Linked DNA regions of Canis lupus familiaris. The protein of the gene in region 6 interacts with the protein of the main gene of each other region in a pairwise test. Links are inferred from orthologs where the notes say so. Each region holds a gene or a part of one and is shown on either strand. Other genes may lie near its edges.

Region 1 (2,741 bases), on a different chromosome or scaffold from region 6:
TCCTCGGGGCTAGAGAAGTACCTGCTCTTCTCCAGCATCCCCCCAAGATAAGACCAAGGAACAGAGGAGCTTCCATTTGGTGAGGAGGAAGGGCCTGCAGAAGCCAAGGCACCGTCAATAATTCGAAGTAGGTAGAACCCGAGTCACTGCGGCCAGACCCTACTGGAAGCTCTTTCTTCCAATGAGGCAGGCACCGCCAGCTCCTACACTCCCACTGCAGCCCAGAGCCCAAGGCTAAGACCAAAGTCTCAGGGAAGAATTGAGAAGCAGGACCAGCGGTTAGGTGTCTGCCTTCAGCTCAGGGCGTGACCCTGGGGTCCCAGGATTGAGTTCCACATCGGGCTCCCGTGGGGAGCCTGCTCCTCCCTCTGCCTGTGACTCTGCCTCTCTGTCTCTCATGAATAAATAAACAAAATCTTTAAAAAAAAAAAAAAAAGAATTGAGAGGCAAGAAAGTCACCACAAAGGGAAAGATGGATAAAAGGACCACAGGCCATAATGTTTGAGATTTTAAAAGTTTATCTCATTCCTAAACTTCCAGGTGGCACTGCCTAGGAGGAAGGCTGGGCAGGAATGTGAACATCTTAAAGACACCCAGTGATGCTGACCAAGCCAGTCTGTTTCCTCATTTTACAAAATGAGGGAGGTGAGCCGCATGGTCTCAGAGGACCCATCATGCTCTGACGCTGCCAGATCGGTTTGTCCCAAAGGCAGGTCTGAGGGAGAAGAAAACCCCCAGGGTTAATGAACTGGTGCTCAGAGCTCCTTGGGGCTGGGACATGCATCCGTCAGCTGCCGGAGGTGAGAGGCTGCCTTGTCCAGCTTTGACAACTCCAGCTGGAGGGAAGAAAGCTAGACGGGAAGAGAAGCAGGTGAAGATTCTGATATAAGGCCCACCCTCTCCAGCCCACGTTCCCTCAGGGAGTCAGGCTTCCCCCAGCCTTACCCTCTGCTGCCTCTTAGTCTCTTCCTCTCCCCCTGATGGGGTCCAGGCCATGAGGCCATCCAGCTGCTTCTGCAACTTGCGTCTTCGGGCAGCTAGCAGAGCCAGATGGGCCTGGGGGTCCACCAGGCCCTGTGGAAGAACAGTGAGGGCTCAGCCTTCTCTGTGCCACCTGCATCTCTGCTTCACCCACAGCCCGTCCAGTACCTCCCTCACCCCATTTTCAGGAGTCTTTCTCACTTTTACAGAACCCGCCCCTTGCCCTCCTCCTGACATCCGTTCGATGTCTCCCTTCCCCTTCCAATCTCCTCTCAGCACCTGTAGCTCCATGTACACCTGAATGGTGTCACTGAGGGGGGCCTGAGCCCAGCCGGAGGGTGCCGCTACACCTGGGGGTAACAGGCCCACGGCCCCACAGTGGCCCAGTGTGGCCAAGGGCTCCAGGAAGGGCTTGAAGAGGCTCAGCTCTCCAGGCTCTGAGCTCTGCAGCAGTACTGAGGAGGAAAGGGCCACTGTCAGGGTCAAAGCATGAGACCTTGCTTCTCTTCCCATCCTGCCCCTCCTAACTCTGGGCTCTGCCCCCCAGGCTCGCACCGTGCCTCTGCCAACCCCTTCTTGCCACAGGGCCTCAGGAACCTAGGGCCCATCTCACCTCGGGGCCGGGCCTTGGTGAGCTGGTACGTGGCTCGGAGGGCCCTCAGTACCTGCACAGCCTCCTGGACCTGAGAGAAGTGTTGTTCCAGCGCAGGCTGGCGCCAGTGCTCCTAGAGACAAAGACCCAGAGCTGACAAGCAGGATCCGGGGAAACTCACTATCAACCCTCCTGGCTCCAGCCCACACCTGCCTACCCCAGTCTCCACTACACACAATTCACCACCTCAAGCACAACCTGGGGCACATCTAAGATCTTAACAGATATCTGTGGTTGATGTCTGTTAACTGCTCTGATCAAAGATGTCAAACAACCAAAAGGAAATTAGAATTTCAACTGTGTTACTCACAAAACCGAACAAGCATAAGAAAATTTAAACAGGTCAACTTTAAAATAATTTTGGGGGTGAGTTGGTCAGCATTTATTCTTCTGAAATTATTAAAGCTTAAAATTGCAGATATTTGGGGGCCATCCTATCCTTATCATAACTGTGACATGAACTATTACTACCCCTGGTTAAAGATGGCAAACTGAGGCACAGCCACATAGCAATGTAGTTCTGCTCTTGTACGCTGCCCCCAACACATCCCTGCAAGAACTACTCACCTCCCTGAAGACTCTATATTAAAGTCCACACCAAGACTGTTGATGACCCCAGGGCACCACACCCTTTGAGAAGCCGGCGCCCCAGCTGTTCACCAACGGTCCCATTCACAGACGTCAGGGATATGTCACTCACCAAGCTATGGGTGGTGGGGTAGGGAGCAACAGAGATGCTAGGGGCAGAGTTGCTGCCAGGCCTGGGTGGCAGCCTCTGCCAGAGCTCTTCAGCCAGGAAGGGCATCAGTGGGGCGAGGAGGCGGAGACCCACATCAGCGCAGGAGAACAGGACCTGAGGCGGGCCTTGGGGATGGGGCGAGTGCGAAAGCACTGGCTTCACAGCTTCCTAGGGAGGAAGCCATAGGGTCAGGGGACAGGCCCAGGCCCAGGCCCCCTCCATGTCCTTTGTCCACACATTCACTGCCCTGCCAGTGGAAAATGCTGTGGGTAAACAAGGGCGGGAGCACACAGAAGCCTGGAAACCACTGGCGGTCCCAGAACACACTCTGGAGCAAATGAAAAATGGAAATCTATGGCAGGGAGTCTC
Region 2 (4,076 bases), on a different chromosome or scaffold from region 6:
AAAATGAGGGACACCTGGGTGGCTCAGTCTTTAGGTGTCCAACTCTTGATTTTGGTTCAGGTCATAATCTCAGGGTCATAGGATGTAGCCTCACAGCCAGCTAGCACTTGGTGGGTGGGAAGTCTGCTTCTCTCCTTCCTCTGACCCACACCCTTACCCTGCCCACTCCTCCTCTTAAAATAAAGAAATCTTAAAAAAAAAATAAAATGAAATCTTTTATTCATTCATTTAAATTCTATCCATATCAGCTAAAAGGTTCTATTGGAAACATAACTCATGAAAGAGCATAGTCCCTTGCCTGCCCTCAGGAGCTTACATTCTTGGTGGGGGAGACAAGAAAACAAAGACAGTTACAGGAAGTGGAAAATGCTATGAAACAGAGTGGTGTGATGGAGGAGGATGGAGAGAGAGATACATTTCGACAGGTTTGGTAGGCAAAGCCGTTCTTAAAATGCGGCGTTAAAGTCAAGGACCAGGGCAGCCCGGGGGGCTCAGTGGTTTAGCGCTCCCTTCAGCCAAGGGTGTGATCCTAGAGACCTGGGATCGAGTCCCATGTCGGGCTCCCTGCATGGAGCATGCTTCACCCTCTGCCTATGTCTCTGCCTCTCTCTCTCTCTCATGAATAAATAAATAAAATCTTAAAAAAATAAAAATTAAAAATAAAGCCAAGGACCTCGAGGATCGTAAGAAGCCACCAAGTAGTAAGAAATACTTGAGTATTTCAGGAGAAAACAAAGAACTAAAATGTCACTAGGAATGTAGTCTACAAGTAGGAGGTGAGTTTGGAGAAGAGACTAGAATAGCAGGACCTTGAAGAATGGGGTAAGAAGACTATATTTTATTCCAAGTGGACATGGTTGATGGCATATAGATGAGAAGCAGAGAAATTTGATATAGGGATGCCTGGGTGGCTCGGCGGTTGAGCGTCTGCCTCTGGCTCACGCTGTGATCCTGGGTCCTGGGATCAAGTCCCACATTGGGCTCCCTGCATGGAGCCGGCTTTTCCCTCTGCCTGTGTCTCTGCCTCTCTCTCTCTCTCTCTCTCTCAAATAAATAAATAAAATCTTAAAAAAAAAATGGAATTTGATACATTTTGGAGGTGGAACTAACAGGATTTGCTGACGGAGGAAAAAAAAAAAAAACAAATGTAGGGTTAATGCCTAGGTTTTCTGACTTGTTCAAATGCATAGATGATAGGTCCATTTCCTAGGACGGGAGACCAAGGAAAGACCGAAGAGGAGAAAGGAAGGAAAGGGACATGGCCATACTTTTATTTTGGACAAGTAAAATTTGAGATGCCTATAAGATATCCAAATAGGGATGTCAGGCAAAGAGTGGGGTGTTCAAGAGTGGCACTCAAAAACCAAGTCTGGCAAGAAATATAAATCTAAAGGTTATCAGAATATAAATTATATTTAAAGCCACAAGAAAGGGGATCCCTGGGTGGCGCAGCGGTTTGGCGCCTGCCTTTGGCCCAGGGCGCGATCCTAGAGACCCAGGATCGAATCCCACGTCAGGCTCCCGGTGCATGGAGCCTGCTTCTCCCTCTGCCTGTGTCTCTGCCTCTCTCTCTCTCTCTCACTGTGTGCCTATCATTAAAAAAAAAAAAAAAAAAAAAAGCCACAAGAAAGGAATTTAAGGAGTATCTACTGTTGTGACTTTTTGGAACACAAATAATAACACTTGAGCAACTAGGGATTAAATGGTCATTAACTATGTCCCAGAACACTGTTCTAGTTACTGACATATATTAAGCCAATTTTAATCCTCAAAACAACCGAAATGAGGAACATAAATGTAAAGATTAACTTAACCAATACCATTCAGCTAATTTTAAATTTTTTCTTTAATGATTTTACTTACTTATTCATGAGAGACCCACAGAGCGAGAGGCAGAGACACAGGCAGAGGGAGAAGCGGGCTCCATGTGGGGAGGCTGATGCGGGACTCGATCCCAGGACCTGAGCCGAAGGCAGATGCTCAACCACTGAGCCACCCAGGCGCCTCTTATTCAGGTGGGACTCAAACCCACGCCGTCTGGCTCCAGGAGTGTGCTTTTACCTCCTCTGGTTACACCCGTCAAACAGAGACCGGATAGAAAGATGCCTAAACCCCAATCCCGAGGCCCTCCAACAGGCACAGACGGGGAAAGGGGAAGCCAACATAAGACATGTTCATCCCCACTCCACGGCTTCACCGGCTCACAAGTGGCTATAAAGTCAATCTCCACTTGGGAAGTTACGGATGTCAGACCCAGGCAGAGAAGCAATGAAGTTTACCTCACCTTCCAAAAGCCGTGGATTCCTAGATCCTTCTTGATACCTGCCTTCCCCTATGTGTCTTCCAAACGACTCTTTCTCCAAATCTAAGCGTCTCGTGACAAGACCCCAAGAATCTGTCACACACACACCCCTAGCCTGTTCCCTAAGTCCTCAACCCCCACGATGGGTGGCAGAGAAAGTTGTCGCGCCTCCCCACAAACAGTGAAGATGAAAGAGAAAGGTTTTCGGGGAAAAAAACTCTGTCCCAGTCTCACGAGGCCCCAGGGAGAGGCTGCCAAGCAGCGCGTCTGGCGGGACAGGACGAAGAACCGAGGTCCCCACGTGGACCCGGCGAAACGGAAGCCCACTCACCAAGCCATCTATCTGCACTTGCTTCACGGCCGAATCTCCGGACCCGCCTTTGCCTTTGCCTTTCCCCGCCGGGCCGGTGGTGGAGCTGGAAGAAGTGGCAGCGGAGCCGGCGCCTTCCTTGCGGGACGCCATCTTTTCAGCCGGACAGGAAAAAAGAGAAACGTGAGTGGCCGGAAGCGGAAGTACGAACTCCACGTGACGTCACGAGCAGCCCGGCGCCCGGGGGGCGGAGCGGGAGGAGAGGCTGGCGCGGGGCCCCGCCTCCCTCCGCTCGTCCGGCTCCCACGCTTCCGCCAGGGAACGCCTTTGCGCATGTGCGAAGTGCGTTTGCGGCTTCTTGCTCCGCAAAAGCTTTCTAAGACACAGGTAGACTTTTAAAGATGTTTCCCACCTCACGTTTAGTCAGTCTCCATGAGTCAGTTGGCCGTAACAGCGTTATAGCTCTCATGCAGGTAGCGTCTCGCCTGAAAACGATTTCACTTTTAATTTTTTTTTTAATGAAGACATTCTTTCCGTCTTTCCAAATTTTGCCTGTTGCTTATTTTTGAAATGTTTACCCCTTCAAGAGATGTCTATGCAGAACTGATAATTCCCAAATTGATTTTCCCTAGACCCCTCCACCGAAGTCCACACCGGCATGTCCATCTGCCTATGCAACTTCTCTACTTAAATGTTCCACATGGACTAACAACCCAGACTTTCCAAAACTGAACTCCAAATACCACCTCCCTCCATAGTCTTCCTCATCTCATTTGATGACAGCTCAATTCTTCCAGTTTATTAGACCAAAAACCCTAGAGTCATCTTTGACTTCTCTGTTTCCCTCACACCCCTGCAGCCAACCCTAGCTCAGACTCTACAAGAAAGGGAATTCTAGGAAGTATGATTCCAGCTTAGCAAAGTTGACATAGTACAAATCCACCCAATTATAGGCTGTCGAAAAGAAACTCATTTCAAACATAGTAATATAGGCATACTGAAAGTGAAATGATGGAAAATATATCATGCAAACATTACGCCAAAGAATGCAGCAGTGGCTATATTATTAATATCAGATAAAGGAGAATTTGGAGCAAAGAAAACCACCAGAGACAGAGAGAGACATTATATAATGATAAATTGGCCAATCACCAAAAACACATAGTAATTCTAAATGTGTATTCCCTAGCAACAAAGCTGAGCTTCTGTAAAGAAAAAACTCCTGGAACTCAAAGACAAATAGACATATACACAGTCATAGTTTAAGACATCAACTCCCCTCTTTCAACAATTAACAGAACAACTAGAGAAAAAATCATCAAAAATATAAAAGAACTCAGCAATACCATCAACAGGATCTAATCAACATTTATAAAAACATTCCACCCAACAACAGAATACACATTTGTTTCATTATTTTCAAATGCCCATGGAAGGTATAAACCGTATCCTGAGCCATGAACA
Region 3 (4,102 bases), on a different chromosome or scaffold from region 6:
CTGTATACTACATTTTCCACCAAGCAATCTATTGATCTTAAAGTATAAGTCAGATAACTTCACTTTCCTGCTTGAAACGCTGTAATAGTCCAAACTCGTTAGCATGGCATTCAAGATCCTCCTTGACCTGAATCTTGTCTACTCTAGTGTTTTTTCACAGTACACTACTCTTGCACCGAGCTCAAGCTTCACAGTTCGTCTTAACTGATCATAGCAAGCAAGCCCTTTTCTTCTTCCTTCTGTCTGTAATGCTATCTCCTAGGAGTGTCTCCTGTCTCTCTCCTGTTCTCAGCTTAAATGTTGCCTCCCTAAAGATTATTTCTCTGGCCGCCCAATCCAAAATAATCTCCCTAGTTATCTTCTCATACCAGATATCATTAGTTTAATTATTGTGCTTGCATATTTCTAAGCTCTACAAAGGCAAAGTGACTCATGTTCACCCTGTATCCTTGATGCCTTAATATCATACGTTTTAGATGCTCAAGTGTTTGTAGAATTAGTGAATACATTAATGAACTCCTCCTTCGATAAAACATGAAGGCCGGGCAGCCCGGGTGGCTCAGCTGGTTTGGCGCTGCTTTCGGCCCAGGGCGTGGTCCTGGAGTCCCGGGATCGAGTCCCACGTCGTGCTCCCTGCATGGAGCCTGCTTCTCCCTCTGCTTGTGTCTCTGCCTCTCTTTGTGTCTGTCATGAATAAATAAATTCTTAAAAAAAAAAAATGAAGGCCTTAATTTTCAAGGAGGTGGGATTTTAGCAGCAAAACATAGTAAGAGCTTGTAAATAAAATGCAAAATGGATAAGGGATGAATTTCCAGAAATAAGAGTCCTGAAACAGATTCACATAGCAGTGTGTGGGTCAGCGTCTTTGGCGCAGACTAGAATGGAGACAACGCTAAATTAAACGAGGGGCATGATTCTCTTTTTCAATTCAAAGAACACCGCCCCCCCCCGCCACGCCCTCCGCCGCCAAGAAGAAAAAAAGAGCGCGAGGGAAAGCGAGGCGAGCGGGCTGCGCGTCCGAACTACAACTCCCGGCAGCCCCCGCGCGAGCCCCCGGCCGCGGGGGGCGGGTCTCCGCCCCTGGAGCTCAGGGCCCGGCCGGCGAGGGGCGGTGTCCTGGCCCCGCCCCCGCCCCGCCGGCGCCCTCCCCCAGGCCTGGCCACGCGCGGCGGCGGCGGCTGTTCCGCTTCCCCTCCGGCCCGGCCCGTCGCCATTGCCGAAGGCTCTCTGCCTCCCCGCCCGGCGCCCGGGGGCTCGGCTGCCGCCCGGCCTACGCTCGCCGCGGCCGCGCTCCTGCGCCGCCTGGCCTCCCCGCCCGCCCCGCGCCGGCGCTTGCCCGGGGCGGCTCCGGAGCCCGCCGGGAGTTGGGACGCGGCGCCTCGCTGGGGCGGGGACCTCTCGGCGCCCGGGTAAGTGCAGGGCGGCCGGGGCGCGCTCCCCGTCCTCCGCGGCCTGCCGGCGGCCGCCACCTGCGCGCCCGGAGCCGCGGGCCTGGGGCGGCGGCTCATTGTCCGCTCCCGAGGGCGGTTTCGCTCGGCGGCAGCCGGCGGGGGAAGCTCGCTGGGCAGGCGCGGCCCGGCTCCTCTGGCGCCGGCCCTGCCCGCTCGCGGGCGCCCTCCCGCCGCCGCGCACCTCCGCGTCCCCCTCAGGCCTCGGCGAGTGCGCGTCGGTGCGGACGCCTCGGTGTCGGAGCGCGTGCGGGCCTCGCCGGCCTCCCGAGCCCCCGGATCCTCAGCGGCTCCCGGTGATCTGGGTCAAGGTTGGCCCTTCCCCGCGCGTGGCTGCCTCCAAAACACCACCGCACGCCCGCGACGTGGCCGCGGGGCCGTCGGCGGGCGCGACCTTTTGACCGCGTCCCTCAGCTGCAGTCGCCCCCGCGGCGGGCGGGCGGGCGGGCGGCGCGGGGCTGCGCCCTCCTCGCGCCTTGGCCTCAGCCCGCCGCTCCCCGCCGCCCGCCGCGCCGTCGCTTTCCGCCTCGGCGGGTCCTGCCCGCTCCCGTCGGTGTGGCTGCTCGGGTTCCCCTCCGCGCGTTACCTGCACTCGTTTTCTTTTTAGCCTCTTTGGCGAAAACGCATCGGAACGGTTAGGCCTAAAATTAGACCACGGCGAGCGGTGTTTTGGACCGAGGTTGTGCGCGTCACGTTTCTTCCCCTGCTCTGTCGGGCTCTTCCGCCCTTAGAAGGAGGCAGGATGTGGAGGTGTGCGAGGATCTGCTCGGGGGTTTTGTTTTCGTGGGGTCACCCGGGAGAATTACGTTCAATGAAATTAGATTGGGGTGAAGACAGTGAGTAGTCTTTTTTTTTTTTTTTTTTTTTTAAGATTTTACTTATTTATTCATGAGAGACCCACAGAGAGGGGCAGAGACCAACGCTGAGGGAGAAGGGAGCCCGACGTGAGACCCGATCCCAGGACCCCGGGGTCACGCCCTGGGCTGAAGGCGGCGCTAAACCGCCGAGCCACCCCGGGCTGCCCTGAGTAGTGATTCTTAAAGCAGGTTAGAACTTGTCGACTTTGCCAGAAGCTCTGTGGCCTTTCTAAAACACACACTTAACTTTTTCTTTCTTTCTTTCTTTCTTTTTAATTAAAGATTTTTATTTATTCATGACAGAGAGAGAGGCAGAAGGAGAAGCAGCCTCCACGCAAAGAGCCCCATATGGGACTCGATCCCAGGACCCCGGGATCACGCCCCGAGCCAAAGGCTGGTGACACTCAACCGCTGAGCCACCCAGGCGTCCCGTAACTTCTAAATGACTTTTATGTATATGCGGAAAATCTATATAGGCGTAGACCTATGAATTTGAAAGCTTTGTTCGTGTTCTGTTAATATGGGGTCTTGATTTAAGGCAGCTCTTTCATCCTTGGCTTTTAGGCCTTTCTAGCTATCGCTTAGCCAAGAATACTGACTTCCCGTATGAAAAATGAATGTTAAAATGTTTTTGAGCTGTGATATATGTAGACCCTAAGCCCACTGCAGGGTTTGGTAAAGAGGTTGATCTACATTCAGGGAATTTTGTTTTCACTGGATCCTCCCAACTTTCCCTAAGTGACTGAGTACTGAGCTGTATGTAATACTGTTAGCATTTGACGGTGTCATTTCTCCTTAACTTGAGAGGTGTTGTGTGCCACAGGGGCTAAGGTATGGAAATGTTGGGAGTGTGAAATTCGGTCTGTTGATGTCAGTTTCTCTGCCGGTTCTTCAACAAGGGGGTACTTTTACCAAGGAAGAGTTACTGGATATTCCTCTTCACATAGGGATTTGATTCGTGGTTTACCATTATTCAAAAAGAGTTATTCTTTTGGACTTTGTGACACTTAATAGTAACCTTGCAAACCCCAAATCATAAAGGAACAATAAGTTTGTACTGGGGGTGTATCTGCTAAACAAATGAATAGGGGGGTTCCTGTGGTTCTCTGATCTTTATGATAGGCAGTTTTCCAAATAGGCATGGTTAACAGTGGTGTGTATTTCTTCTTAATTATATATACTTAAAAAAAAAAAAAAAGAGTAGAACTGGCTCAGGTAGCTAAGGATAAACTTTCGATTATACTTTTTAATAAAGAGAACTTGTTCAAATAAAGTAAGTAGGCACTTTAAAATCCTCCCTATGTTTCTTCTGTCAATATCGATTATTCTGCTATTCGAGTATAATGTTTCTTTGACTTATTGAAATTTCTCCTTTTCATTTAAGCTTGAAACTAAGCCCTGTTCAGTGCTTTAAGGCTTCAGGATTCTGATCAGTTTGTTTTCAAAGGCCCTTCCAGTTAGTTAGAGGGCTAATTCCAGACTAGTCAGAAGGTGGGTAAGTTACTTACGAATCTGAGTTGTCACTTGTATCCTTGTACCTGGGTAGAAACCGAAAGAGAAGGAAAAATAGCCCCCCTTGCCCTGAAGAAAATACTGATTGTTTCCTTCTGTGATCAGAATTTTCACTAGTTCTTCATTTTAGGATCACTAACCTACTTAAGGATAGTCCTTCTGAACATTCATGTAGGATTTCAGAGTTCTAGCCTATTATTATCTCCGAGGTACAATAGTACTTACCATTCCATGTGTCTCAAATGGTTAGGTGCTGGGGACCTGGGTTTGAATCATTACTCTCTA
Region 4 (4,139 bases), on a different chromosome or scaffold from region 6:
CAAGGTGGACATGGGCCTCACCCATCTGGGGGGGGGGGCACTCTTTGGGGAGAGGGGCAGATAATAAGCTGAAACACAAATGAATAAATAAGATGACCGCAGAAGGTGGCTCCTGCCCTGAGAAAAATCAGGCAAGGTGATACCCAATGAGTACGCAATTAGCCGCTAATTAGCCTCATCTCAGACCCCGGAAAGCCAGTGGAGAAACAAGTCCACTTGACCACGCCGTGGGCGCAGAGGCCGGGTGGCTCACGGAGGGGAGAGGGCACTGGGCCGAGAACGAGGAGGCAACCCCACCCACTCCTTAGGCAGTGCAGGACCTTAGGAGGCCATGACTCCCCTGAGGCCCCCCTAATCTCCTTCTGCACAGTGGGGATGGGACAGGATCATCTTTTTCTTCATTTGCTGCTTGCCCAGATCCTAGGGTGACCCAGCCTCCTGGCTCCCACAGAGTCCATCCTGTGTCCTGTGGGAGGCAGAGGCTGGGCAGGGGGAGAGGATCCTGCCCCCTTTCTGAGGCCAATTCTCCAAAGGAGAGGAGGCTGGATTCCTGAAATGACTGCCCCTGATCCAGCAGCCCCTGTAAGGGTTTCGGGGGGAGGGATCTTCCATCAGGCAGATGGGACCCTGGCCCTGGGCTGAGGGCTTCTCAGTAGGAAACCTTGCTCCGACAGGAGTGAAGGAATTCTCAGAGAATGTTCCTCTGTTTTCTGTCACTCCTTAGAGCCCTGAGAGGCCAGCCCAAGGAGCAGGAATGGGAGCAACCATCGGATCCACTATCCCTCTTGGTATCCTCCTTCCCACTTGGGACTCTGTACTTTGAACGGCTCAGAAGTCTGACACTTGGCTTCTGAGGCTCCTCTCTCCAGGGAGGAGGCAGGAGAAGGGGGAGGAGCAGTTTGGCCTGAGAAAATCCCAGAAGGCATCCTCAGTACACTCCTTGGGTTTGGGGGCTTATGGATATTCCCAGGAATAATGATACTGACAGTCAACAGAGATTGGGGCTTTTCAGTTGACCAGTCACAATGCTGGCACGTGAGCCCTTTATCACCCAATTCAATTCTCGCAGCTACCTTTAAATAAATACACAATTACCCTAAAAGATTATAAAGGTATATAAAGTATTGTTCTCACTGCTTTACAGGTGTAGAAACTGATGCTGTATCCCTGGCCCTCCTGGACCTCCTGGCCCTGAGTTTTAAATTTTCACAGCCCCCAGGAAGGGAGGGTTACTTTGAAACACTGCACATGCCATTCACGCAGTGCACCCCACTTTGCAGAACCCATGTCTCCCAGTTCCAGCCTCCCAGCAGCCCTATAAGCTGGAACGTGGCATAGTTTGCTTCATTTTACAGATGGAAAACCTCTGTCCGAGCCCAGCGGGCCAGAAAGCACAGACAGGAAGTGGCAGGGGCAAGGAGGATCCAAGCGTCAACATTCTCGGTCCCTGGTTCTTTCCATGGAGAAACCGGCCTGGGTGACCCCTCCCAGTGGCCAGCTATGTTGACTCTCTGGGGCAGGACCAGAGCACACCAGGCCCTACGCCAGAGGGTTTGCAATAAAGCCACTCCTTTCTGTTTGTGTCCAGCTTCCAGGCACACAAGTCCTTGATGATTAGCCCATTTTACAGATAAGCAGCGGGAGGCTCAGGGGGTTGGAGTGGCCCCCAGGCCACCGGTTCCCACCCAGGTCTCCCAAAGCTGCTCGGGAGACTGGCCACCGGCAGGCTGCAGCTGCTGAAGGTTACAAAGGGGTTCCTCCTCCCATTACTGAAGCCGTGGGTGCCCCAAGGAATGGAAAAAGCCTTCCACCCATGGGTGACAGCCCACACCCGGAGGCAGGCAAAAACAACAAAGGCCGCTCTTAATTCTCCCAGATGCCTTGCCGGTGTCACTTCCCCGGATACATAACGGGGCTGGGAGAATCACAGGCAGCAGGACGAGCCCTCAACTGGCTACCAGAGCTCTGGGGTCCAGCCCCACTTGTGATCCTGCGCACATCACGGCCCCCTTCGAAGCAGCCCCTCTCCGAGGGGCTCGTCCACGGAGGGCGCGGAGGGCGGGGCTGGGGGATCCGGCGGGGTGCGAGGAGGGGGTAAGGCACCTCTATTCTCGGAACGCAAAGGAAGCAGGAGCCTTGCTCTTTCTTTCTCCCCTTGTCCCCCCCACCCCACCCCCTTAACCACACAGGTGCCAGACAGCTTTGGCGAAAAAACTAGTTTGCAAACACTCTTCGACTTCTGGGAAGCTGCCCGGCTCCGCTCCCTCTTCCAGGGCTGGGAGCTGGCTCCCAGGCTGTGGGCGGCGGCGGGGATCCTGGGGGTTGAAAGCAGGGTGCGGGGGCCCCCCGAGCCAGCCCGACCTCAAGTCTTCGGCAGCTCCGACCGTGGCGGAGGCTCTACCTTCCCAACGCCCCCAGGCTCCCTGCGGGAAAGGCAGGCGAGTCCCCCAACGGCTGGGCTGGGCTCGGACCCGAGCGGCGCCACCCTGCTCCCGCACCTCCCCGCTTTGCCCCCGGCGGTCGGGGCGCAGCCGGAGCGCCCCCGCGTGGCCGGGTCGCAGCTGAGTCACCCCGCTGGGGGCGCGCGGGGGGCGGGGGCTTGGGGCGCCACGGCCCCCGCGGCGGGACCCCGCTTCCTCCCGGCCCGCCACCGCGCCAGAAGCCGAGCCCCAAGGCCGAACTTAGCGCTCGCGCCAGGGCGCCCCCCCCGCTCCCGCCCCGGGCCGCCCGGGCCCCACTCACCGCGGGTCCCGCGGGCGCCGCCGCCCTCACGGCGCCGCCGCCTCTGCCGCTGCCCGCGCTCCGGGCCGCCGGGGCATCCCGGGGCGCTCCTCTGCTCGGCGGGGCCCGCGGGCGCGGGACGGGCTCAGGGTGCTGCCCGCGCGGCCCTCGCCAGCTCGCGTGCGCTCCGGCCGCTCGGGGTCCGCGCTCCTCCGGGCGGCGGCGGCGGCGGCGGCGGCGGCTCGGCTCCTCCCTCCGGCCGAGAGGGGGCGGGGGTGCGGAGGGAGTGGGGAGGCGAGGCGGGCGCTTCCTGGCGGGGCGAGCGCTCCCGCGGGCGGCGCGGAGGCGCTGTCCCGCCCGCCGCCCCGGCTCCGAGCCCGCGGCTGGCGCGCCCTGGCGCTCGGGGCTCTCGGGGCCGGATCCCGGGGTCCGAGCGCTCGAGGCCCGAATCCGAGGGTCCGATCGCTCGAGGCTGGGACTCCGGATGCGGCGCCGCTGCTTCGCACCCTCCCGGCGGGCCTCGCCGCAACCGCGGGCGCCTGCGAGGTCCGGGCACCGTGCGCCCCGGGCCGCGGACGCGGGACCCGAAGGTGGGCTCAGCCGGGGCCTGGGGGACCCCAGCGCGCTGCCTGCGGCCTCGAGCCCCGGGGCCTGCGCCGCGCCCTCGGGGGTACAGCGCAGGGCAAGGTTCGGCCGTGTTGACCAGCACTAGGACCGCAGTGTTCCCCCCACCCCCAATGGTAAAAGAGCTCGGCATTTTCTAGTCGCCAGACACTGGGAAGATGACACAGATTTCTCTGACAGAGATGATAAGATAAAGACAGTTTCAACACTGCCTGGAGCTAGGTAGCGGGAGCATAATTAAGGGGGGCCTTGAGGCCCTGGCATCGAGCCCACCTCTTCCTGCGAAGGCCTTCTTTTACCCTAGAAGAAGCATCAGTTCTTAAGAAATGCATCTGTCGCCGGGGCTCCTGCTGCAGACCACCCAGCGGTGTTTATGTGCACACACACGCCTCCAATTCATGGCTTCGGAGGGCTTTTAACCAGGTTGTGGGGGATCTCACGGCCCTGTCCCAAAGCCCTTGTCTCTGTGGCTCCAAGACCAGGAGGCACTTGGGTTGTGGTTTTTCCATTCCAGGTAGGAGAGGGTTAACTAGGAGACTCACACTGCAGCCTGTGAACCTCCCTCCAGTCTGAGTCACAGGCACTTTGCAGCCTTAGAGGGGCAACCACTAAAAACCCCAGGGCTCTGAGCTTTGTTTTCTGCCTGCCTATCCCCCAGCCCATCCTTCCCTTCCTCCAAGCTCTCCTCGCCTTTCCTCCATCGAGTCTTCAAAGCCCTCAGCCCAGCTCTGAGGCAAACCAGTCAGATCCAGCTCCAGCCCCACCTCCCCCAGGAAGCCTTGCTGGATTGATCT
Region 5 (3,500 bases), on a different chromosome or scaffold from region 6:
AAATACAATCCCTGTAATATTGATGATATAGCAAAATAATAGCCATGGTATTTACTTTAACTTCTACTTTAATCTTTTGTCCTGCTTTTGAAAACATTTTTTTTTCTATGGAAATACTATAATTCAAGCACAAGGATAAGCATGGATACTCGATGCTTTTGAAGGAGGTTTTTTGATCTTGCTGTTTTGTTTCTCATTTTAGGGGTGCTAGAAAAGGAGGGAATTTGGTATTAAGTGTGGAGTACAAAGCAGCAGATGTGAGGAAAGGACCCAGTTCTGACCCTGGGATATAAACCAAATTTTAGAATTTTATGCCCCTACATATTTCGAGCCTCATATTTGCAGCCCTTTATAAAGCCTCTTCACATTCCTCATTTAAAAAGACAATCAAATGCAATAGTTAAGGAATGACCTAGTGGTCCTGCAGACCTCTGTTTGAATCCCAGTTCAGTCAACTATGAGACCTTGGGCATCTCTAATCCTGTTTTCTTACCTATAAAATGGACAAATACAGTCCCTAGGAAAAAAAGGTCATTGAGAGAATTAAATGAGACATTCAGCAGTGTGCCTTGCCACATAATATGCCCATGAAGTAGGAAGAACAGATGACTGTAGCCCTGTCTGAGAGCCTCATGGAGGTCAAGAGCCACGCGCCTAGTGTCATGGAGCTGGGGACCTGAATGCAAGTCAAACTACAAATCCCCTGTGAATTCTTAGTTTAATTAAATTCCTGGCAGAAGAAGGTACTTCATTAATATAGTTTTATTGTTCTTCCAAACTATAATCTAAGCAGCAAATGATGTCTGAGCTCTTTAAACCAACTGACACACAAGAGAATTCACACCAACTCTGATTGTAAAGTTCTATTGTGTTGAGGAAATAATGGTCCCCACAGTCACAGGCAAGGTCTGTGAAGCCAAACATCACAAAAATGTCAGCGTCCTGGGCCTGGGGTCAGTTAGCCTGGGTGCCAACCTGGCCCTGTCTTGGTGAGTAAGGTTTTACCACAACAGAGCCTCACCTATTCACTTGGGTAGTTGTGACAGACCGTATGGTCTACGAAGCCTCAAGTATTTACCATCTGTCCCTTCACACATACAAAAAAGTTGCCCACCTCTGTTATAGAAGACAATATATCAGGGAAAAATAAACCCTGAAAATATCTTAAAATGTAAAACTTTATTCCTGGAGTTCTTTCTTTATGCCTTCAGTCTCATGAAAAAAGGGGGTGTGAAGTAGCAGGTGAGCCAAATTCCCCAAAATGAAATGAACACCAGGACCTTCAAGTTGGGAGGGATTCTTCCAAGAAACGTTTGAGATCCTGTTGTTCAGCTACATTCATCTCAGTGTCCCAATATCTCTAACTCCTCTGGTTATGAAATTCTCATGTTTACACATATGAAAGACTCACTGGGATTTTCTCTTCTTCAAGGGATGGTGATGGTCGAGAGCCTTTCCCCAGCTCCTCTTCTTCTGCAGCTTTCTTACAGATACTGTGAGTCTCCTGGGTATCTGGTGCTTGCAGATCATAATATTGTGATTTCATTTTCAAGCTATTGGCAAATTCTTTGGACTGAGTTTTTCTGAAGAGAAACAAATGTGGAATTATAAAAAACATTCTCCAACACAGACAGCTTTTCCAAAGCAGATGCCTACATTCAAATTATGTGAAAAACACTAACAGCTACCATTTACTAAGTGCTTATAATATGTTAAGCCCTTTGCTAGTATTTAAAGACATTAATTTAGGAGCACCTGGTGGCTCAATTGGTTAAGTGTCTGACTCTTGATTCTGACTCAGGTCATGACCTCAGAGTCATGAGATCAAGACCTGCTTTGGGCTCCGTGCTCAGTGCAGTGTCTGCTTGTCTCTCTCCCTCCTCCTGCTTGCGTGAGTGCTCTCTCTAATAAATAAACAAAACCTTTAAAAAAGAAAATGCATTAATTAATCCTCATAATAACCCTATAAGGAAGGGGTTGTGTTATCCTTGCTTGATTGCAAGAGGCTCAAAATAATTGTATTATTTATCCAAGACCACATAGTGGCACAGCCAGGATTTGAACCCAGGTCTGCCCAACTTCTGTTCAGAAGCTAGTCTGCTAGAGCACCCTGCCTTCCTATGATGAGCAGCACATAACTACTTTATCTCTGTATGCCCATTTATAGTTTTAGTTATAGGAATTGATGGGCAGCATCACTAGCCCTCGGGACCTGAACTGAGGTCCATATGTCTGCTGTCTATCTCATAAGCTCAGATAGGGCTGTCAATACTCAAGGGATAAGAGGCTTCACAGAAGCCACCTTGGCCCCTAGCAGAGGGGATAGATCTATCATCTGCCTCACCACTACCAGCTGAGTTATCCTATATCTCTGATTGATCACGTCACTCCCTTATTCAAACACCTCCACCGTCCACAGAATAAGGTCCAAAGTCCTAAATCTGGCTTCCAAGGCACTTCAGAGCACAGCCCTCTGTCTCCTGCTACTTGCTCATGTATACCCCCAAACACTTGGAAGAACTCATTGTCACTCAAAGAACCATACACATTCAAAACTAGGGGTCTTCATCATGTCCTCTCCCTGCCATCTCCTTCCTGACATTCTGCGGCTGGAAAACTCTACTTATCTTTCAAGGTTCAATTCAGATTTCACTTCTATTGTGGTTTGGAATAATGGGCTCAGTTAATGCTCTGTTTATAACTTAGTTGTAGCATGAATCACAGCCCGTCCTGACTGAAGTTAATCGTGTACTGGCCTGTTTCTTCTCCTAGACTGGTAGCTTGTCGTTCACCTTTGAATCCCTACCACCTGGCACATGTAAGCACCCAGAGGCCTGCCCTCTCTAACCAATCTTGTTTGAAGGCCCAAAGCTTGAACAATGTTGCACCTCTCACTTATATTCCGATGCTCAGCTGTGCCAGCCTGCGGTGCTCCAGCATGATTCTAGTGAAGCCAGTTGATCATGGGGGAACCACATCCAGATCAAAACTGGGATGACAAGTGAGGAGGTAAAATGGTTAATGTGATCACATTGTGGGAATGAAGGGAACCATGAAAAGTATAAAGAAACTTGCCAGAGGGATTTAAAGTTACTTTTGTGACTCTCAGGCCCCAATCTACTCACCCTGCAGATACTGGGAAAAAGAGGAATCTTTGTATGATTTTATTTTATTTATTTTTATTCCCTTCCCCCCCCTTTGTATGATTTTATATGTGGCCAGCCTCTCACTGGTTTACAGATCTCGTACCTGAGCTCTTCCGCTTCCCGCTCTGCTTTCAGCTGGGCCCTCTCAGCAATGATTTCGTTGCAGAGCACATCGTAGGGTTTATCTAGATGGTGTTCACCCATCACCCACACCCAGACTTCCTTATCGGCTCCCAGTTTCCAATGAACAGATTTGCCATTCTCTGCAAGTAAAACAAAATTTGGATTGGACAAGTATCTTTAGTCATGGGTTATTATGTTTGCCATCGTTAAAATATTTAGGGTCTTTCAGGA
Region 6 (3,500 bases):
ACATACATAGCCACAGCGTGGGTTCAGACTGAACACAAATGTAGCGTATTTCACCAAAACCAGTGGGAAGGGACTGGCCACTCATGGAACAGATGCATGTGTTAGGCCTTCTCCTGGGTGCCTCACATGTGTTCCCTCACCTGAGCTTCACCACACTCTCATGAAGGTGGGTCTCCTCCTCATATTACAGGTATTGAATCTGAGGCTCTGAGAGCTCTGTAACTCACCAACAGGTCACAGCTAAGTGGTGGAGCTGTCATCTGAACTTAGAGCTCATAACTCCTCGATGTAACAGTGCTTTCGCAGGCTGGAACCCATAGTGCAGGGGGATGGGGATGGTGGTGTTCTCACTCATGCCTCAGTCTCCCTAAAAGGAAACTTGAAGAGATGTCCTCCCCTTTCTTTAGAAGAAGCTGGAACCCCTCCGAAGAGTTTCCTAGAAGTACCTTCAACTGTAATCCTGGAGCACCCTCCTCCTTACACCAGACCCCAAAGCAGGTAGCCTGCCCGGCATCCTCTCCTCACTGCTGTGCTCTTGGGCCAGACACCTCTGCTGAAGAGCACAGATAATGAATGCCCTTTCAGTTTGGGGCCTGTCCTATGTAGCCAGGAGAGCCCAGAATCCTTAGGAGGGCACTGGCAGGCATAGAGGTGAGGCAGGGGCCTACAAGCCTGCTTTTTGAGCCTGGACAGTGTCCTGGTACCCCTCTGCTTAAGCTGATGCCCACCTACTTCCATGCAGGTACCCAAACGCCAAGAGAAAGCAGACAATGTCTGGACGGAAGATTCTTGGAACCAGTTTCTGCAAGAACTAGAAACTGGACAGAAGGTAAGTGTCCTCCTGGCCCTCTAAGAGTGAAGATACTCTTTAGCTAGTGCATTTTGGAAAGTGAGTTCACCCCCTCTGACTCACCCTTCCCACCTTTAGCCCAAGAAACCACTAGTGGATGACCCTGTTGAGAAGCCCTCCCAGCCCATTGAGGTGAGTCCTGCAGGACAGGTTGGAGGAGGAGGGAGACAGCTATGCAGGGGGATGAGTGAGGGAGACTTTGGGGTGGTGTTAGCCCCAGTTACCATGGGCAAAAACAGAGACCCAAAGCTCTGACCCTCTCCAGTCCCATACAGTTTGCCTCTGTATCCCCAGCACCTGGGACAGTGCCTGGCATACAGTCTGCCCACAAAGATGTGTTGAATACATGTCCCCTGACCAGAGCAGCAGCAGAGAAAGGAGTGGTCAGTGTGGACTTGTCAGGAAGTATTCTTGGAGGTGGAGCTGAGGTCTCAAGAGTTGGGAGGGCTTGGTTCTGGCAGACAGCCAGCTCAGTGTGAGGGAGATGCAGAAGCAAAGGAGGGAAAGCCGGTGGAGCACAGGCTGTGGAAAGCCGCCGGCAACTTGGTGAGGGAGGAAATAGGGAGCTCTATAGGCTCTGGAACAGGGAAGTGAACGGACAAAAGGCACCAACAGGAAGTACTAAGGTACTATCATGGGAGTAGGGATGGGTGAGCCAGGTCAGATGGGAGGGGCCAGCGAGGAGCTGTGGATGGGCCATCCTGACACCCTGAGACACAGCTCTGGGCAGGCCCACAGGCAGGGAGCCTGGCCTGGCCCTGTGCCCCGAGCCTGCCCTTTACCCAGGCACAGTGTGCTTTGCTTCGTCCTGCCGCCCCCTGGGTTTCTCACATCTGACCTGCGACCAGTGCTCCCCCACCGTGCCCTCCACCCCTCCGCCGCGCCCCGCTGCCCGGGTCTCTCCCCATAAATCCGCCCCCAGGTCTTGCTGGAGAGAGAGCTGGCCAAGCTGAGTGCGGAGCTGGACAAGGACCTGCGGGCCATTGAGACCCGGCAGCCGTCCCCGAAGGTACCGGCCCCCCAGTCCCCTCCCGGATGACCCGGAGTCCCCCGCACGGCCTCCGAGCGTGGGCGGGAGGGGCAGGCAAAGCGGAGGTGTCGCCCCCGGCGCGCTCGGCACGACCTTGGACGGACTTCATCCCGGACTGCTGTCTCCTGTATAAAATGCAGGGCGTTGACTTTTCCAAGTGACCCCTAAGAACCCTTCCAGGCGACTCCACGTCAGCCGGCCGGCGGGGTGCGGGGTGCTGGGGGCCCCCGCCCCCCCTGTCCGCAGGGACCCCCACCTACCCGGGCCGGGTTTCCTGGGCCGGCCTCCACTCTTCCGCCCCGCCCCCGCCCCCGCCCCCGCCCCCCCGCGTTGTTCCTCCCGGGTTCCTGCGCGGCCGACTCTAGGACCCCGCGTCCCTCCGCCCCTCCCGCCCCTCCCCTGCCCTCCCCACCCCTCCTGCGGCCGAGCCGCAAACTTTTCCGGAGGCGGCGGCCTCGGCTGCCGCGGGAACCCGGCGCCCCGGGCCCTGACCGCGCCCCGTGTCCCCGCACAGAGCTCCCAGGCGCCCCGACGGTCCCGGGAGCCGCGGCCCCCAGCGCGGTGAGTTCGCGGCCGGGCGGGGCGCGGGGGACGTGGCGCGGGGCGGGGGGAGCCGGGCGAGGGCGCGGAGGAGGGGCCTGGCGGCGGGCGGGCGGCCGCGCAGGGGTCGGTCCCCGTCCCGGTCCCCGTCCCCGTCCCCCTCCCCGGTCCCCGTCCCCGTCCCCGGTCCCCGCGCAGGGCCTGGGGGGCCGCGGCCCGCGCCCGGGGGAGCCTCGCGCTTCCCACGCGCGCTCCCGCCCCCCGCGGCCCGGGCCGCACCCTGTCCTGCCGGGGCTGCGGGGGAAGTAGGACATCCTGCGGCGAGCCCGGGACGGGGAGACGCCTTGGGGGCGGCGGGAGGGGGGACGCATCCGGGCGGCCGGGGTGAGTGGCTGCGGTGCGAGGCCCCGACAGGTGGCTCACGCGCCGCGTCCCCGCGCAGCCCGGCCTCCGCCTGGAGCACCAGCTCCCCGAATGCACTTTACCAGGGTTCCTCCCGGCCTCTGAGCCCCCACAGAATGGCGGATGGAGCGAGCCCCTTCCTAGGTCGTAGGGACTTTGTCTACCCTTCGTCGGCCCGAGGTAAGCACTGGATCCTGCACTTTTTCTCACCTGGAGGCCTGCCACCGTGCCCCCCCCCCTGCTGTGGGGTTGTGGGGAGCGGGCGGTCATAGAGCACCCTGCTTCCACTGGTCCATGTCCTGGGGTGGGGGGAGCAGAACCCCTTCCCAACCCCGCCCCCCAGACGTGGCCTTCCCCAGCTGAGGTCGCGCTTTTCCACAGACCCTAAGGCCACTGAACGCGGGGCCAGCCCAGTCAGGAAGGAAGAGAAGAAGGTAAGCAGGGATGGGAGCTACTCGGACCAGAGTGCATGGGGATCCAGGATGGATCTCCTGTTGGCTGTTCTGGACCTGCCACCTGCTTGACTAAGGTGCCTGCCTCTGTCCTCTCCCCCTGCCCAGAGGAAAGCTGCCAGACTCAAGTTTGACTTCCAGGCACAGTCCCCCAAGTAAGCGCCCTTCTCTCTCCACCCCACCCCCACCCCACATGTCTCTGCACCCCACGGAGGAGTGGTCTCCC
Region 7 (3,500 bases), on a different chromosome or scaffold from region 6:
GTTTGGGCTGACCTTGGGAGATTCTCTAAGGAGCAACTCTCAAAAGTCCATCTTAAATCTAAGGGTGCTTATGGTGACATTGTCCTCTTTTTGAGGCGTGATGGGTGAAAACAAAATTGCTTCATTTTCAAAATCGGGGACAAAAGTGCTATTCCTGGGAAACAGGTTTGCCTTTGTCTTCTGAATATTGAGAAATATGCATCTGCTGATTTTCACGGTCGTTCCTGGAAAGACAGACTTGCTACATGCAATTCTCATAAGTTCCTTCCTCCTGTCTTCATCTCACCTTCGTTGTTGTTGTTGTTTTATTTTGAAATACTTCACCTTATGTAAAATTTTATATACCATCTTAAATTCTCTGGGAGATTTAAGTGAGGTATGGATAAGCAAATAATATAATGCTATTGATGGAAAACAGATTTATTTTGTATAAGAAAATGTGTTACTTCATACCTAGCACTTGTCAGTGGTTATCATTTGAACAAAGGTGACAAGCAGAAAAGACTGCAATGTGATAAAAAGAAAATTGCTAGAAACCTAAGAACTCTAGGGTTTCTATCCAGATTACTCCAGGTTTCAAATAATCCAAGTACGTACATCCAGGTTTCGCAATAGCAAATGCAATGATTGTGGATGGTGGCTGAGCGAAGGATCATTAGCATCTTAACACTTGACACTGGATCTCCCTGGAAGATACCACTTGGAGTCAAGTTACACGCGCACCTGCAGGAATCTATAATTCCCTAGTACACGGCTTACTAATCTGTGTCTGAGTCCATATACAGGCCTTAGCGATATATATTAGGCAAATACAGTCTATTCTGCTTGCAGCATTTTATAATTTTTTGTGCGTTGGTGTTTAATTTCAGTTGGAAAAAAATGTCTTGATTCTCTGTGACATGGGAGGGTACTTTCCTCCCGTTTTTTTCAAATTCTCCTACCCTCGTTTGTAGCCTATTAGACAGGCGTGTTAGAAGTACGTTCTTATAGGCTACAAAGCTGTGAGGAGAAAAGAGCTATGTACTCGGATGATAAGAGGAGCACGAGGCCAGTGTTCAGGAATTACGGAGCATCATCTATGGGTATTCTGGGGAAGCACCTTATCCAGACACACTCCCAGGGCTGGAGGGAGCTGTATATTACTAGAGACCTAGAAAGCACCGTGGCTACTATTCAAGATGAGGAAAAAAATCTTACAGCCCTCTACCTCCCCGATGCAGAAAGGAAGAGCACTTCTACAAACTACCATCCTATGTTTAAGATACGTTTAATGCCTGCGAATCGAAAAGGCGGATATTTACCATAGATAGAATCTACGGGGTTGTCAGCATAGCTATTTGACAACACAGGATTTAAGCAGCAGATTATTTTAGCCACATGGCTTAAACAATTGGTCAGACTAATCCTGACTCCTTTAATTTTTTTGGCTCGGATGCCAGAATTATCTGGCCTTCCAAACCTTTGGGAACCAATGACCCCTGAGCTTTGGATTCTGACTTGACATAGATATCTCCCTGTTAATCCCCCCTTAGTCTGTAGGTGAAGGAGTTACATGAGTAAGCAAAACACATTTCCAAACCAGAGAGGTACGAGCAGGGGATTCTCATACACTACATGCCTGCCTCCTCAGCTCCGTAACATGGAACAGTTTAACAGTTACTCTTTTTAAATTTTTCCTTGCAGTGTGCCAATTGACATTTTGTTCACAACCGATTACACGGCTGTTAATAAGAAAAATATTTGCACTATAAACACATAAAGCACCAGCTTTGATTGTCTGTGAAAAAAGGCCAAGGAGTCTGTTTAAAGAATCACTTTGGCAATGTGCACAAACCATGTCCCAACATGAATGTCACTGGAGGCAAGCAAGATAAATATAAATAATTTTCAGTTGAAACCAGCTCAAAGATACATCAATGTGAATACTTCAAGAAAATATTCCAGGGCTGAGGGATGGTTAATGGAGACAAAATGACTATTTGTATCAGAGCCCTGGCACATTGTTTTTCATAACCCCTTTCCTAACAAATGCGCCAATAAATGTGGCACATTTTGCCAGAATAAATATCATGTCCACCACCATTCTGATATACGACACTCCTTTTGATTGCACCGAGTGATCTAATACGTAATTTCCTTTAGTAGACATGATTCATAAATCATCTCAGGAAAAGATCTGTATTTTAATGCCCAGTTGTAATTTTGCTAATATACATCCCACCGGTTATGTTTTTCTTACATTTTCCTCTTGGGCCTCGTGCTTGAAGCTCATGCAAAATACGTTCCCCACTTTTGATACCAAGGCACTTTAGTCAAAACATGATAAACTGATACATTTTAGAAGGACATTTTAAGTTCTTCATTTTCATACCGGGCTATCAAAAAAAAAAAAAAAAAAAAAAAAAAAAAAAAAAAAAAAAAAAGGCCTACTCCCTTCAATACCCCTGGATAAGGTTCTGCTATTTTTGGTCTAGCGAATGTCATTGAGACATGCCTTCCTGAGGCAGAACGAGGAAAACAGAAATGGTTTCCAATACAAGACAAATTTCAAATGGAATTTTCATTCTGAGCTTTAAGTGTCAATGTAGTCAAAACAAATCAATCTGTACCTCCTCTATCTTCTTCTGCATGATTTTCCATTGACTCTCCCATTCCTTCCTTTCGTTGTCAAACTGGTCCAGCAGTTCCATCTTTTCCTTGTGCCAGTCGGTCTCTGTGTTCTCCCACTGCTTATGCAGGGCCATGGCAACCGTGTGAGTGTTACTGAAGGGGTATTTCTGCTTGTCTCTGCCTTCTTAACTGTTTCTTGGAAGCTTGGAGTTGGTTTATTTGAAGCGGTCTCACTTGCCTTTAAAATAAAGCCTAATATAAACATAACAAGGAAGAGTTCCAAATCCATTTGCTTTTTGGAAGCATGCTATCATTTTGTTAAGAGCCATCGACATACACAAACGACGGGAAAACCGTACTTAAGAGTAGAGAGGAGATGATGAAGAGTCTGCTTACGAGGAACGAACACAGTTGGGACACCTGGGTGGCTCAGTCCATTAAGCCACTGACTTGGGATCTCTGCTCGGGTCTTGATCTCAGGGTCATGAGTTCAAGCCATGCATTGGGCTCCGTGTTGGGCTTGGAGCCTACTTAATTAATTTAAACAAACAAACAGAAGAACTAACATAGTCAAAAAGTAAGTATGGCCCAAATGGGTTTTCCCCCCTTGCTCAAATGGTTTTTTTGCCCTTTCTGAAATCAGACAGCAATATCATAGCTGAATGCATATGTGAGATGTAACTGAGCATTCGTTTAACCAACTACCTCCTCTAAAGATGGACTACCTAAGAGTGACTATCTAAGGGTGGAAGTATGAAATTCAACTGTATGGTTGGATCTGCACAACCATGGTGGATTCTGCTGCAACAGGATTACTCCTGTTTTGATGCAATGAGATTATATGTGTCTGCGACTTAAGGTCGTGAAGCAGTGCTGGGCGGCAGTCTCCA

What was found.
Region 1: the proteins of SORBS3 (region 6) and VARS2 interact in binary tests that used the Homo sapiens proteins (3 or more experiments, as listed by UniProt). The two-hybrid records come from large-scale screens. The link is inferred for Canis lupus familiaris from reciprocal best matches to the Homo sapiens genes SORBS3 and VARS2.
Region 2: the proteins of SORBS3 (region 6) and EIF3H interact in binary tests that used the Homo sapiens proteins (3 or more experiments, as listed by UniProt). The two-hybrid records come from large-scale screens. The link is inferred for Canis lupus familiaris from reciprocal best matches to the Homo sapiens genes SORBS3 and EIF3H.
Region 3: the proteins of SORBS3 (region 6) and PAK2 interact in binary tests that used the Homo sapiens proteins (3 or more experiments, as listed by UniProt). The two-hybrid records come from large-scale screens. The link is inferred for Canis lupus familiaris from reciprocal best matches to the Homo sapiens genes SORBS3 and PAK2.
Region 4: the proteins of SORBS3 (region 6) and CPNE2 interact in binary tests that used the Homo sapiens proteins (3 or more experiments, as listed by UniProt). The two-hybrid records come from large-scale screens. The link is inferred for Canis lupus familiaris from reciprocal best matches to the Homo sapiens genes SORBS3 and CPNE2.
Region 5: the proteins of SORBS3 (region 6) and SH2D4A interact in binary tests that used the Homo sapiens proteins (3 or more experiments, as listed by UniProt). The two-hybrid records come from large-scale screens. The link is inferred for Canis lupus familiaris from reciprocal best matches to the Homo sapiens genes SORBS3 and SH2D4A.
Region 7: the proteins of SORBS3 (region 6) and KIAA0408 interact in binary tests that used the Homo sapiens proteins (3 or more experiments, as listed by UniProt). The two-hybrid records come from large-scale screens. The link is inferred for Canis lupus familiaris from reciprocal best matches to the Homo sapiens genes SORBS3 and KIAA0408.

Annotation. Positions count from the first base shown.
Region 1 is NC_049233.1:831,961-834,701, reverse strand, and holds the end of VARS2 (valine--tRNA ligase, mitochondrial), read right to left. Parts: intron 2,541-2,741; coding exon 2,334-2,540; intron 1,707-2,333; coding exon 1,595-1,706; intron 1,437-1,594; coding exon 1,261-1,436; intron 1,075-1,260; coding exon 946-1,074; intron 852-945; coding exon 756-851; 3' UTR 501-755; downstream 1-500. UniProt on the Homo sapiens protein: Catalyzes the attachment of valine to tRNA(Val) in a two-step reaction: valine is first activated by ATP to form Val-AMP and then transferred to the acceptor end of tRNA(Val).
Region 2 is NC_049234.1:16,572,273-16,576,348, forward strand, and holds the start of EIF3H (eukaryotic translation initiation factor 3 subunit H), read right to left. Parts: upstream 2,801-4,076; 5' UTR 2,766-2,800; coding exon 2,634-2,765; intron 1-2,633.
Region 3 is NC_049254.1:30,472,215-30,476,316, forward strand, and holds the start of PAK2 (serine/threonine-protein kinase PAK 2), read left to right. Parts: upstream 1-1,302; 5' UTR 1,303-1,409; intron 1,410-4,102. UniProt on the Homo sapiens protein: Serine/threonine protein kinase that plays a role in a variety of different signaling pathways including cytoskeleton regulation, cell motility, cell cycle progression, apoptosis or proliferation.
Region 4 is NC_049223.1:58,540,464-58,544,602, forward strand, and holds the start of CPNE2 (copine-2), read right to left. Parts: upstream 2,801-4,139; 5' UTR 2,743-2,800; intron 1-2,742.
Region 5 is NC_049237.1:22,892,425-22,895,924, reverse strand, and holds part of SH2D4A (SH2 domain-containing protein 4A), read right to left. Parts: intron 3,410-3,500; coding exon 3,250-3,409; intron 1,584-3,249; coding exon 1,412-1,583; intron 1-1,411. UniProt on the Homo sapiens protein: Inhibits estrogen-induced cell proliferation by competing with PLCG for binding to ESR1, blocking the effect of estrogen on PLCG and repressing estrogen-induced proliferation. May play a role in T-cell development and function.
Region 6 is NC_049246.1:34,875,055-34,878,554, reverse strand, and holds part of SORBS3 (vinexin), read left to right. Parts: intron 1-407; coding exon 408-498; intron 499-742; coding exon 743-829; intron 830-928; coding exon 929-982; intron 983-1,772; coding exon 1,773-1,859; intron 1,860-2,394; coding exon 2,395-2,441; intron 2,442-2,527; exon of another isoform or gene 2,528-2,546; intron 2,547-2,862; coding exon 2,863-3,002; intron 3,003-3,203; coding exon 3,204-3,256; intron 3,257-3,382; coding exon 3,383-3,429; intron 3,430-3,500. UniProt on the Homo sapiens protein: Vinexin alpha isoform promotes up-regulation of actin stress fiber formation. Vinexin beta isoform plays a role in cell spreading and enhances the activation of JNK/SAPK in response to EGF stimulation by using its third SH3 domain.
Region 7 is NC_049222.1:66,700,209-66,703,708, forward strand, and holds part of KIAA0408 (uncharacterized protein KIAA0408 homolog), read right to left. Parts: intron 2,849-3,500; 5' UTR 2,745-2,848; coding exon 2,610-2,744; intron 1-2,609.